Cricetulus griseus: one gene and its partners. The protein of the gene in region 1 purifies or fractionates together with the protein of each later gene. This does not show direct contact. Links are inferred from orthologs where the notes say so. Each region holds a gene or a part of one and is shown in the gene's direction. Other genes may lie near its edges.

Region 1 (3,559 bases):
TCCAGACTAAACCCCAAACGTGCAATAATAGAATCTCCACATTTTATACTGTTACCATACAGGTTTCAGACCAGCCTTGCCATGATTCAGTCTTTAAATCCAAGATTCAGTCAAGCCTGGTTGGCACAGGCCTGTAATGCCAACTACTCCAGAACTGAGATAGTGGGAGAGGGTGGAAGGGGAGAAGGGAGTGGGGAAAAAATGTATAGCTCGATTTTCTTAAAAAATGGCAAAAAAAGAAAGAAAATGAGGCAGAAGAATTGGCAAATTCAAGTCCAGCCTGGGCAACTCAGAAAGACCCTTTCTCAAAAGAGGAGGAGTGGGGAGAGATATGCCCCGTGGTAGAGCACTTGAGCACTTGCCCTTGCTTGTGGCCCTAGGTAATCCCCAGAACAGCAATAAATGAATTAGTCAAAGATTCAGTCCCAGTGTACAAGGATGTATGTTCATTTGTGTGTAGGAAGACCAATGTGAACAGCTTGGGTTCTGATGAGCCAAGGTGAAGCAGACACCAGTCTTTCTGGGTGCAAAAGGCAGTTTGCCTGCTGGATTGTATGAGACATAACAGTTTGTGCACCCTGATATATCCAGGCATCTAAGCACACAGGTGAGGAACACATCCAGCAATGTCCTGATACAGCCTTGTTGTCTTCATGGTCTTTGTACCTTGGCAAGTGCTCAGTTCTTTGAGTATAGAAATGTAATGTGATACTATATTCTGAAGGGGGATTTATTTCAGTGTGTGTGTGGTGACGGCTAATCTTAAATGTCAACTTGACACACGTGGGAAGAAACCATGGTTCATTGCTTCTGTCAGATTGGTCTACAGGACATTTTCTCAACTAATTGATGGAGGAGGGCCTAGACCACTGTGGGTGGTACCATCCCTAGGCAGGTGGGCCTGAGCTGTATATAATTCAAATAAATAAAAGACCCAGAGACAGATACTGGGATTCAAGCTGAAGACCAGGAAAACAAAACAACCGGCCACTAGCTCTCACCTCTAGCTCAGGCTGAAAGGGCTGATGCACGCACAAGCTCTTCAAGTCTCAAACTGTTGCCTCTCCTCAGTGTGGCTGCCTCTCCTCAGTGTGGCTGGAGAACAAATGCCTCCTTCTGAATCCTTGCTCCTATCTTGTTACCCCTCTAGTGCTTCAATTAAAGGTGTGAGCTATAATTCTCTTTTAGACTGATTCAGTCTTGTGTAGATCTAGGTGGCCTTGGACTCACTGAGATCCATCTATCTCTTAATCCTGAGTCCTAGGATTAAAGGTGTGTACTACCACTGCCTAGTTTCTGGATGCTGGGATTAAAGGTGTGTATCACCACTACCTGATCTCTATAGCTTGAGACTGACTTTGCTTTTCTGAATCCTCAGTCAAGCTTTAATAAATCATAAATAATATATCACTACAGCTGTATAAGAAAGCTTGCTGACCATGAGCTAGAGAGTGAGTTGGTAAACAAAGTTCCTCCAAGGCCTTTGCTTCCATCCCTGCCTCCAGGTCCTGCCTGGAGTTCCTGCCCCAGGTTCCCTCATGGTGCCTTTAAGTTCTAAGTTTTGAAATAAACCCTTTCCTCCCCAAGTTGCTTTTGTTCAGTGTTTCATCACAACAGAAAGCAAGCTGTATATAAGGCAAACCATTTCTTTTTATGTCCAATGATGTTCGTGGATACCATGAAAAGTATTGATTGACATTTGCTTTCCAATACTAAACAAAGGATCTTATGAAAGGAGTATCGGTAACGAACTGTGAAAATAAGATAAAATGGACACCAGTAAAAGTCAATATTTTCTCTGCCTTATTTACCAGGGTCTCTTGGTTTTAAATTACATAAGTTTTCACACTTTGTTAAATGGGGGTTAATTTTTTCAAAGTAAGCAAATGATACCAAAGGGCCAGTGACACATCCATGTTGCTGGACAGTTAGATGTAGGAGAATGTGAAGGAGGTAAGCTCTGCCTGTAATCCACCCTTCAGGAAAACTCCACATCTTGGTGGGCCATCATGTAGACTTTTTTGGTCATTTTGTTGTCTTGGAGTCGAGACGGTGTGTTGTTGACGGTGTTCCTGTGGGCAGGTATCAGCATCGAGTGGAATGGGCCATGGATTTCATGCGTAGGCAAGGCCAGGAGGAGAGCACTGTGCAAAAGATCTTGACAGACTACACAGAGCCACTTGAGCTCCCTTGCAGAAAAGGGAAAGAAGAGGTCCCTCAGCATGACCCGCTCAACTCTGAGGCCAACTCCACCCTAGAAGGCAGAGTGGGAAAGGACGAACTCTCTGTTACCACTGGAGGTGCTGGACAGTCAGATGACTTGCAGGGTCTCAACACACACTCAGACTGCCTGCAAGAGGGGCCTGGCCAAGCCACACTCACCGTGGCTAGTCCATCTAGCTTTAATGGACATGTGATAGAAGACACCACAGTTCTGCCCCAGGTCCCCTGCCGTATTGCTCAGGATGGCCTTTGGCCTGAAGACAGCAGCCAGGCAGCAGGAGAGAAAAGGGCTGCTCATGAGTATGTACTCGTAGAGGAAGAGCTGTGTGATGTCCAAGAGGAAGACGAGGCCCCAGATGAGAAGGTATGTAGAACAAAGTACCATGCCCCTCATCTGGGCTTCAGTTACAGTCAACCACAGTCTGAGAACGTTGCTGTTTGTCTTGGCTTTTTAAAGAGAGACCACATCCATTACTGCTCTCACCACAGTGTTAGGATCCCTTTCCTTTACTGTTAGTCACTGTTGTTAGTCTCTAACTAATGCAGACTTTGCCGTGGCTGGATGTGGATAGGAAAAATATAACAATGGGGTTAGTGCTACCCATGGTTGTAGGTATCCATCAGGACTCTTGGGGTATGTCCCCTGGAGATTCGAAGGCTGTCAGTCATTTCTCCAGAGCTACCTGCTGCTGGCCAGCAGAAGATATCAGCCCACCCAGGTGCCCTTCACTTGCCGTGGGGCAGGCCTGTGATGACACTGGGCCTGTATGGTGCTTCTGAGGCCACCACTGAAGCATATAGTTCAGTTGCTCAGCAGTTGAAGACAGTTTCCACTAAAATTCAAATTTAAAAAAAATTTAAAGTAAGTTAAAACAAGTAATCCTCTGTGTCTTGTTTGGGAGAAGAAAGGCAGTGTAATTGCCTGATGTCGGGTACAGCTAAGAGAATGAAGATTCTGACACCGAAGAACAGGTCTTGTACAGCTTGTGAGTGGGAGACACTGCGTTTAACAATGGAGTATCACATCATTGGGAAAAAGCCCATGGGATAGTGTTAGCAGCAGAAAAATCAGAGCATCTTTTCCCACGAAGGTTATTTTACTCAGTAGCATGTTAGCATTGGGCTTATCAAAAAAATGTTCATTTGGGGATTCAGTCTTCATGACAGGCGGTATTCACCTGTGTCCCAGGTGACTGGTTCTCTTCCTTCCTTTCTTTGTAGTTGCTGCAAAGAAAGAGACTGGTGTGCAGAAGAAATCCATACAGGATCTTTGAGTATCTACAGCTCAGCCTAGAAGAGGTATGTATGCATCTTGCTGGCTGTCTCAGCCCTGGGT
Region 2 (4,354 bases), on another chromosome or scaffold:
CCCTGGAATGGGGCTGCCCACATTCAGGGTGAATCTTTCCTCTTCTGTTACATTTTTCTGGAATCTTTTCACAGACACACCCCAAAATGTGCCCCATTGGTGTCCAAAGTGTTTACTAATCCAATCAAATTGACAAATGAAATTAATCATCAAAAAACCGACCTCTAAGCCTCCTAGTGGTGCACTCTTTAAAACCCAGCACTCTGGAGGCAAAAGTAGGTGGATCTCTACTAATAACTAAATGGGCAAATGCCTCTTATCTTCCTCCCCAAATGAAACTGGAGATAATATACCTACCTGTTTTTGAGGGTGTTGTGACATAAGACACCTGGAGGAACTGGAAAAATGTAAAAGCATGGTATATGAATAGATGAGATTATTATAGTCTCTCTAGCCTATAATAAAATTAAAGGTTAACATCAGATACTTGCTATATTATAGGCAATGTGCTTAGTGCTTTACATGTATCTCATCCAATCTTCAAAACAACTTTAAGAGGTTGAATACTGTTATTATTCCCATTTTACAGACAAGAGACATTTCAGGGAAAGAAGCCTGTGATTTATCCAGTCAAGCAGTGAGCCAACCATACAAGATTCCAAAGGCCATGCTCATGAAAAGTGTATTATAGACATGGTGGAACCAGTTAGCAGTGTGTAAATGATTGACCTTGTGTAACTGTCTGATTTACATAGAGAAACAATCCAGAATCTGGAAGAGGTTGATGGATAATGACTGGTTTATAAGTTTAATGGGAGCTGGGCGTTGGTGGCGCACGCCTTTAATCCCAGCACTCGGGAGGCAGAGGCAGGCGGATCCCTGCCTCGAAAAACCAAAAAAAAATTTAATGGGAAAAAAACCACTGGGCTTTTATTCTACCTTTACTAAAGGGGAAAAACAAACAAACAAACAAAACCCAAAAAAACCCAACAGACATCCTGGTTTGGTGACTCAAATCTGTAAATTCCAGCATTTAGGAGGCAGGAGAAATCACCGCGAGTCCGGGATTGGCTAGTCTGGGCTACAGTTGAACCGGGGTGGGGTGGGGGTGGGGTAAAAAACAATTTACACTTGGTTCCTTCTCTATGTTCGGCACCGACAGGCAGAGGTTGTCAGCTCTGTGTAGCCTCAAAGGGGGACTGTTTCTATTTCCCTCTGCCTAGGTCTCCTGCTTACGCTAGGTTTTGCTAACTTCCCCACTTTCTGGCTTGTGGTCTAGGCGAGCAGAGGATCCAGACAGAGAGGCCTCTCCCCTTTCTGGTAGCCCTTAGCTTTCCTGGACAGCAGATGGGGAGAGACCATGTAAATGCCTTCCGCGCGTGGGCGCACCAGCAACGCCTCCTCTCCGCCTCCAGCGGTCTTCCCGCACAAAGTGACGGCGTTGCCCCGCCCACCTCGCGCGTCACGGCACAATTCTCGAACTACAACTTCCAGAGGGCTGAGCGTCGACGCGCGCTCACTCAGCCCAACTACATGTCCCAAGAGGCATTACGCGACCGCGCTTCCTCCCATCGCGCAAGAGCGGAACCGCATTTGCTTTCCGGCTGCTCTCTAAGTGGTCGTTGTGCTGGAGTCCTGTCCGAAGGCTTCTGCTACCCTGATTTAGGACCTGTGGTTGTGCAGGTAAGGACCCCAATTCAGTTCTGCGAGGCCTTGGCAGATTTCTGTGTTGGAACTAACTGCGACAAATACTGGACCTGGAAGTGCGGTTTAGAATCAGAGTAACTAACGTTTCTTTGCTAGCGCCTAATTTACGGTGTTTCATTTTGTTTTTCCTACTGTGGTAGCTGTTAACAGCACTGTTAGGTGAGGACGTGTAAATTCCCACCAAATGACAGCTGATGAGTTTGTTGAGGTGTTGATTGAATTAAAGTAGCTATTGGAGTTTCAGAGCTTGACATACAACTGTTTTCTTAGTCCGAACCCTGTGTGCTGTACTTTGCACACTATTCAGAGTCTAGTTTTTTTTTTGGCTGAGAGTTGGAGAGAGGGCATCTGTTATTTCTTTCCCGATAGGGTGATGGAAGGAAGACAACGCAGTAAGTTTCCTGTTAGTTACATTTTTATTATAACCTAGTCATTCATTCACTCAGTTTTCTGTTGAGGTGCACTGCTGTTCTATCTACTAGAGATAGAGTAGCAAACAAAAACACCTCTACCTTCTAATTGTGGGGAGACCCGCAAACAAAACCCAGCGAGTCGGAAGGCAATAAGAACTCCGCAGAAAAAAGATAAAGGGATGAAACCAATGGAAGATTTTGAACGATGGCCTGACTATTATAGATGACTATTAATCTGTATTTTTTAAATTATACATTACTTTTCTTTTGTTTTGTTTTGTTTTTTGAGACAGGCTGGTTTGCATTTTTAATGAGTTGTATAAACACAATAACCCAAACGAGTAGAAACATACATATAGTATAACAAAAATTAACTTTAAATTTGTATCGATATTAAAAAATCCATACCAATGTAAAATATTTAAGACTAGCAGTTGCTTTTTTGGTTTAAAAGTAGATTCAATAGCCGGGCGTTGGTGGCACACGCCTTTAATCCCAGCACTTGGGAGGCAGAGGCAGGCGGATCTCTGTGAGTTCCAGACCAGCCTGGTCTACAAGAGCGAGTGCCAGGGTAGGCTCCAAAGCTACACAGAGAAACCCTGTCTCCGAAAAAAAAAAAAAAAAAAAGGATTCAATAATCTCCCCCTTTCAGAAAGAGATCTTTCAATCTAATCTCCTTTGTTCAGCTTTTTTCCTGACCATTACAAATAACAGCTTGTAACCAACCTCCCTTAAATGATAATAAATAGCCCATCTTTTGGGAATTTGGGCATAGTTCTTTAAAATACATTGGCTGGGTGGTGGTGGCACACGCCTTTAATCCCAGCACTTGGGAGGCAGAGGCAGGCGGATCTCTGAGTTTCACACCAGCCTGATCTACAAGAGCTAGTTCTAGGACAGCCTCCAAAGCCACAGAGACACCCTGTCTCGAAAAACCGATATATATATATTGGCCGATAGCTCAGGCTTGTTATTAACTAGCTCTTACAATTTAACCCATTTCTGTTAATCTGTGTGTTGTCCCAAGGCTCATGGCTTTTACCCCTCCCCATTTTGTGTGTCTAACTCATTGTGCTTCTGGCTCCTTGTGACTCCTCTGACTCTGCCCTTCCTATTCCTATAGATATATAGATATAGATAGATATAGATTCAACCAATATATATATATATATATATATATATATATATATATATATATAGCAATATATATATATATATGTTGAATCTAGCAGTTTTCATAATCCAGTGTCTCTTAAGGAGGCAAAAAATTCAAAGACAACACAATAACCGACTGTCTTGTATTTTCTTTTTTAAAAAAATTTTTTTTGGTTAAAGGCATGTGCCACCATCGCCCAGCATGTTTAGCACCTTTTTAAAGAAGCTTTTTCAGGCTTTATGTGAATGTAAGTGACCCTAGATGTTTGTGCCATTTGTTGGCAGAAGTTTTTGTCCCATCAGCAGCTCCCAAATAAACACAAAGAAGCTTAATATTAATTATAAATGCTTGGCCGATAGCTCAGGCTTGTTACTAACTAGATCTTACAACTTAACCCATTTCTGTTAATCTGTGTGCTGTCCCAAGGCTCATGGCTTTTACCCCTACCCCATTTTGTGTGTCTAACTCATTGTGCTTCTGGCTCCTTGTGACTCCTCTGACTCTGCCCTTCCTATTCCCAGCATTCTCCCTTATTAACAATGAGAATAATACATATTTACAGTGTGCAAAGATTGTTGCATAGCAATGGCCTTATGTAATGATTTAATCTAATGTTTAATTTGGGTTCTAGGCACAGCAGCTATACAGAAAAAATGAGTGAGGAATCCAATGATGACAAGAAGCCAACAACTAAATTTGAACTAGAGCGAGAAACAGAGCTTCGATTTGAGGTGGAAGCATCTCAGTCAGTTCAACTGGAATTGTTGGCTGGCATGGCAGAGATCTTTGGCACAGAGCTTACCAGAAACAAGAAATTCACCTTTGATGCTGGTGCCAAGGTGGCTGTTTTCACTTGGCATGGCTGTTCTCTGCAACTGAGTGGCCGGACCGAGGTGGCTTATGTCTCTAAGGACACCCCTATGTTGCTTTACCTCAACACTCATACAGCCTTGGAGCAGATGCGGAGGCAGGCAGAAAAGGAAGAAGAGAGAGGCCCCCGAGTGATGGTAGTGGGTCCTACTGATGTGGGCAAGTCCACAGTGTGTCGACTGCTACTCAACTATGCAGTGCGTTTGGGCCGCCGCCCTACCTATGTGGAGCTGGATGTGGGTCAGGGCTCTGTGTCCATCCCTGGTAC
Region 3 (4,091 bases), on another chromosome or scaffold:
GATCCGATTCCGCCCCAGCAGATCCACAGGCGGTTACGCCACCCAGCCGGGGCCACGCTCCGGCCGCTGATCCCGCACCCCGCCACCCCGCGATCTCCAGCGACGCCTCGGCACAACCGCACCCCGGGCCCACCTGAACCGCCCGCCGCCCCGGAGGCTGCGGAGAAGCCCTCTGTCGCCACCGCCTCCGCCCGGGCCACGCCTCCCCAGCTCAGCACGCCCCCGCACGGCTCGCTCCGCGATCCGGGCCCGGCCGGAGATCGGCTGCGGTAGAGGACCCGGCACCGGAGGGAAAGAACCCAGAACACGAAGCAGGGCGCAGGCCGCCGCCGCCGCAGGATGCCCGCCGCGTTCCTTCTGCCAGGCCCCGGGGCAAAGAGCTGCTGCCAGTACGTGAAGGGGCGGGGCTTCGAGCCAGAGAGGCGGGGCCCGGGCTCCGAGTCCCGAGGAAACGGGTTAGGGCTTGGAAAGGGGGCGGGACCTGGAGCGCGGCGTTCGGAAAGAGGCGGAACCCTCAGCTTCGGGCTCCTTCGGGCACCCTCGGGAGTTCAAGCGGACGGCGTGGAGGCCGGCGGGGGCGGGGCCCGCCGGCTTCGGCTCGCTTCGGAGAGAGCCGAGTTCCCAAGTCACGGTTCGGAATTAGATCGGTTCCCACACTCGGCCGGATGTAGGCGGGGCCGCACGCTTCGGCGAGATTCGGGCATCCTCGGTTCCCTCAGCGCCTCCGTTTAGTAACCGGGCGGGCTCACGAACGCCGCCCGGCGTGGGCGGGGCCGCGGGCTTCGGCTCGCTTCGGAGGTCGTCGCAAGTGTGGGGGTGAGGGCGTCCTCCAAGAATTGCAGGATGTGGGCGGCGCCGAGGGCTTGTGATTTTTTTTTTTTTTATTTTCTATTTTTTCTTTTTCCCGGATACTCGAACATGTTTTAGGTCACTGTCAAATGCCCGCGAGGCCAGAAGTTGCGGCTTAGATTCGGAAATAATCGGGTGCAACGGAGGGGGGGGCCTGGTTCAATAACAGGCGGAGCCAAGAGCTTCTCGAAACATCGAGTCTTGTTTTTTTTTTTTTTAGGGGTGATCGGAGGAGGAAGAAAGGCGGAGCCAGAGAAGACCGGAAAGAGACGGTGGGCGTGGCCACCCTCAACGGGGCGGGGCCTGCAGGACTCTAGCGCCTGGGAGGTGTGGCCAAGAGCGATGGCGCCGCCCCCGCTCCCCCCAGGTCCCACTTTAGGAGGGCGAGCGGCGGTGCGGGCGGGCGGAGGGCTCGCTCGCCCGCCTCCGGTTTTCCGCTCTGCTGACGTGACGGGGGAGGGCAGGGGGTGACGGAAGACGCGCTACGTAGAGCTACGTAGAGTGCTGGGCGAGGAGCTGACCGCGGAGGACGGACGGTGCGACGGCCTGGCCGACCGAAGCACGGACGCCGAGTCGGCGTGCCCTGCGCTCGCCCGCGAGTGCCACTGAGGGCGCCACCGTGGGCGCGGACTCCCGGGTAGGGTGGGGTGGGGTGGGGTGGGGTGGGCGGGGCCGCGGCCGGAGGAATTGACGGGGGACGCAGCCGGCCCGGCCCGCTGCGGACGCCGAGCGAGCCTCCTCCGGCGGCTGCTGCCAGGGAGGGGGCGGCCGTGCGACAGAGCCGAGATCCCGGAGGCCGACACGCTCGTCTAGCGGGGTGGCCCGGGGATGGGGCGGGGGTCAAGGGGTGAGGGGGTGGGGCGGGGTGGGGACCCCGGATTGAGCCGAGCCGCGGACGCCCGGACATCGAACCTCCTCCCGCGCAAGACGGCACCGGGTTTCTCTTAAAAAAGAGAAGGAAAGAAAAAAGCGTCCGTGCGGCTGAAAGTGGATAGCAGGCGGGAACTGGGGGGACTCGAGGTGGGAGGGGCCGGGTTCCCGGGTTCTGGAAGGGGGTGTGGCTTCAGCCAGCTGCCACTCTGCGTTCGGAGGCTTGACGGACGGACGGACGGACACGCCCGGAGGGAGACGCCCACTTTGCGAAAAGGGGCGGTGCGCCGCTGCGGCTGGAGGTCTCTCTGTCTCCCTTTACTCTCTCTCTCTCTCTGTCCCCCTCTCTCCTTCTCTCCTCTCTCCCTCTCCCTATATCTCCCTCTCTCTCTCTCTCTCCCCCTCTCTCTCTCTGTCCCTCTCCTCTTTCTCCCCCCTCTCCCTGTCTCTCTATCTCTCCTCTCTCCCCCTCTCTCTGTCTCTTCCTCTCTGTCTCTCCTCCCCCCTCCTCTCTCCCTATCTCTCCTCTGTCTCTGTCTCCCCCTCTCTGTCTCTCTCTCCCACCCCCCCTCCCCATCTCTCTCCCTCCTCTCTCTCTGTCTCTCCCTCTCTCCCCATCTCTCTCTCCCCCCTCTCTCTGTCTCTTCCCCTCCCCTCTCTCCCCCTCTCTTTCTCCCCCTCCCTCTCTCTCTCTATCCCCCTGTTCCTCCCTCTCTCTCTCCCCCTCTCTCTCTATCCCCCCTCTCTCTATCCCCTCTCTCTCCCCATCTCTCTCCCTCCTCTCTATCCCCCTCTTTCTCCTCTCTCTCTCCTCTCCTCTCCCTCTTCCTCTCCCTCCCTCTCTCTCTCTCTATCCCTCTCTCTCCCTCTTCCTCTCCTCTCTCTCTCTGTCTCTTCCTCTCTCTTTCTCTCCCTCTCTCTCTATCCCTCTCTCTCCCCCTCCCTCTCTCTCTCTCTCTCTCCTCTCTCTCTCTCTGTCTCTTCCTCTCTCTTTCTCTCCCTCTCTCTCTATCCCTCTCTCTCCCCCTCCCTCTCTCTCTGTCCCTCTCTCTCCCCCTCTCTCCTCTCTCTCTGTCTCTTCCTCTCTTTCTCTCCCTCTCTCTCTATATCTCTCTCTCCCCCTCCCTCTCTCTCTCCTCTCCCTCTCTCCCTCTCTCTCTCCTCTCTCTCTCTCTGTCTCTTCCTCTCTCTTTCTCTCCCTCTCTCTCTATCCCTCTCTCTATCCCTCCCTCTCTCTCTCTCCCTCTCTCTCCTCTCCCTCTCTCCCTCTCTCTCTATCCCTCTCTCTCCCCCTCCCTCTCTCTCTCTATCCCTCTCTCTCCCCCCCTCTCTCTCTCTATCCCTCTCTCTCCCCCTCTCTCTCCTCTCTCTCTGTCTCTTCCTCTCTTTCTCTCCCTCTCTATCTCTCTCTCTCCCCATCCCTCTCTCTCTCTCCTCTCCCTCTCTCTCTCTCTCTCTATCCCTCTCTCTCCCCCTCCCTCTCTCTCTGTCCCTCTCTCTCCCCCTCTCTCCTCTCTCTCTGTCTCTTCCTCTCTTTCTCTCCCTCTCTCTCTATATCTCTCTCTCCCCCTCCCTCTCTCTCTCCTCTCCCTCTCTCCCTCTCTCTCTCCTCTCTCTCTCTCTGTCTCTTCCTCTCTCTTTCTCTCCCTCTCTATCCCTCTCTCTATCCCTCCCTCTCTCTCTCTCCCTCTCTCTCCTCTCCCTCTCTCCCTCTCTCTCTATCCCTCTCTCTCCCCCTCCCTCTCTCTCTCTATCCCTCTCTCTCCCCCCCTCTCTCTCTCTATCCCTCTCTCTCCCCCTCTCTCTCCTCTCTCTCTGTCTCTTCCTCTCTTTCTCTCCCTCTCTATCTCTCTCTCCCCATCCCTCTCTCTCTCTCCTCTCCCTCTCTCTCTCTATCCCTCTCTCTCCCCCTCTCTCTCTATCCCCCCCCCTCTCTCTCTATCCCTCTCTCTCCCCCTCTCTCTCTATCCCTCTCTCTCTCCCTCTTCCTCTCTCTCTCTTCCTCTCCTCTCCCTCTCTCCCTCTCTCTCTATCCCTCTCTCTCTCTTCCGCTCTCTCCTCTCTCTCCCTCTCTATCCCTCTCTCTCTCCCTCTCTCTATCCCTCTCTCTCCCTCTTCCTCCCTCTCTCTCTCTCTCTCCCTCTCTCTCTCTCTCTCTATCCCCCCTCTCTCTCCCTCTCTCTCTCTATCTCTCTATCCCTCTCTCTATCCCCCTCCCTCTCTCTCTATCCCCCTCTCTCTCTCTCTCTCTCTCTCTCTCTCTATCTCTCTCTCTATCCCCCTCCCTCTCTCTCCCTCTCTCTCCCCCTCCCTCTCTCTCTCTCTCTCTATCCCCCCTCTCTCTCTCTCCCCTCCTCTGCAGGGCTGACGGT

The links. Proteins that work in one complex are often made in the same cells at the same time.
Region 2: the proteins of Tsen2 (region 1) and Clp1 purify together in Homo sapiens (affinity purification with mass spectrometry; 3 studies listed by BioGRID and IntAct, counting the BioPlex papers as one, with this or other methods). This does not show direct contact. The link is inferred for Cricetulus griseus from reciprocal best matches to the Homo sapiens genes TSEN2 and CLP1.
Region 3: the proteins of Tsen2 (region 1) and Tsen34 purify together in Homo sapiens (affinity purification with mass spectrometry; 3 studies listed by BioGRID and IntAct, counting the BioPlex papers as one, with this or other methods). This does not show direct contact. The link is inferred for Cricetulus griseus from reciprocal best matches to the Homo sapiens genes TSEN2 and TSEN34.

What each region holds. Positions count from the first base shown.
Region 1 is NC_048601.1:29,280,062-29,283,620, reverse strand, and holds part of Tsen2 (tRNA-splicing endonuclease subunit Sen2), read left to right. Parts: intron 1-2,082; coding exon 2,083-2,587; intron 2,588-3,444; coding exon 3,445-3,522; intron 3,523-3,559.
Region 2 is NC_048599.1:90,801,122-90,805,475, forward strand, and holds the start of Clp1 (polyribonucleotide 5'-hydroxyl-kinase Clp1), read left to right. Parts: upstream 1-1,497; 5' UTR 1,498-1,623; intron 1,624-3,847; 5' UTR 3,848-3,869; coding exon 3,870-4,354. UniProt on the Homo sapiens protein: Polynucleotide kinase that can phosphorylate the 5'-hydroxyl groups of double-stranded RNA (dsRNA), single-stranded RNA (ssRNA), double-stranded DNA (dsDNA) and double-stranded DNA:RNA hybrids. dsRNA is phosphorylated more efficiently than dsDNA, and the RNA component of a DNA:RNA hybrid is phosphorylated more efficiently than the DNA component.
Region 3 is NC_048602.1:21,616,796-21,620,886, forward strand, and holds the start of Tsen34 (tRNA-splicing endonuclease subunit Sen34), read left to right. Parts: upstream 1-1,234; 5' UTR 1,235-1,486; intron 1,487-1,879; exon of another isoform or gene 1,880-2,021; intron 2,022-4,091. UniProt on the Homo sapiens protein: Constitutes one of the two catalytic subunit of the tRNA-splicing endonuclease complex, a complex responsible for identification and cleavage of the splice sites in pre-tRNA. It cleaves pre-tRNA at the 5'- and 3'-splice sites to release the intron.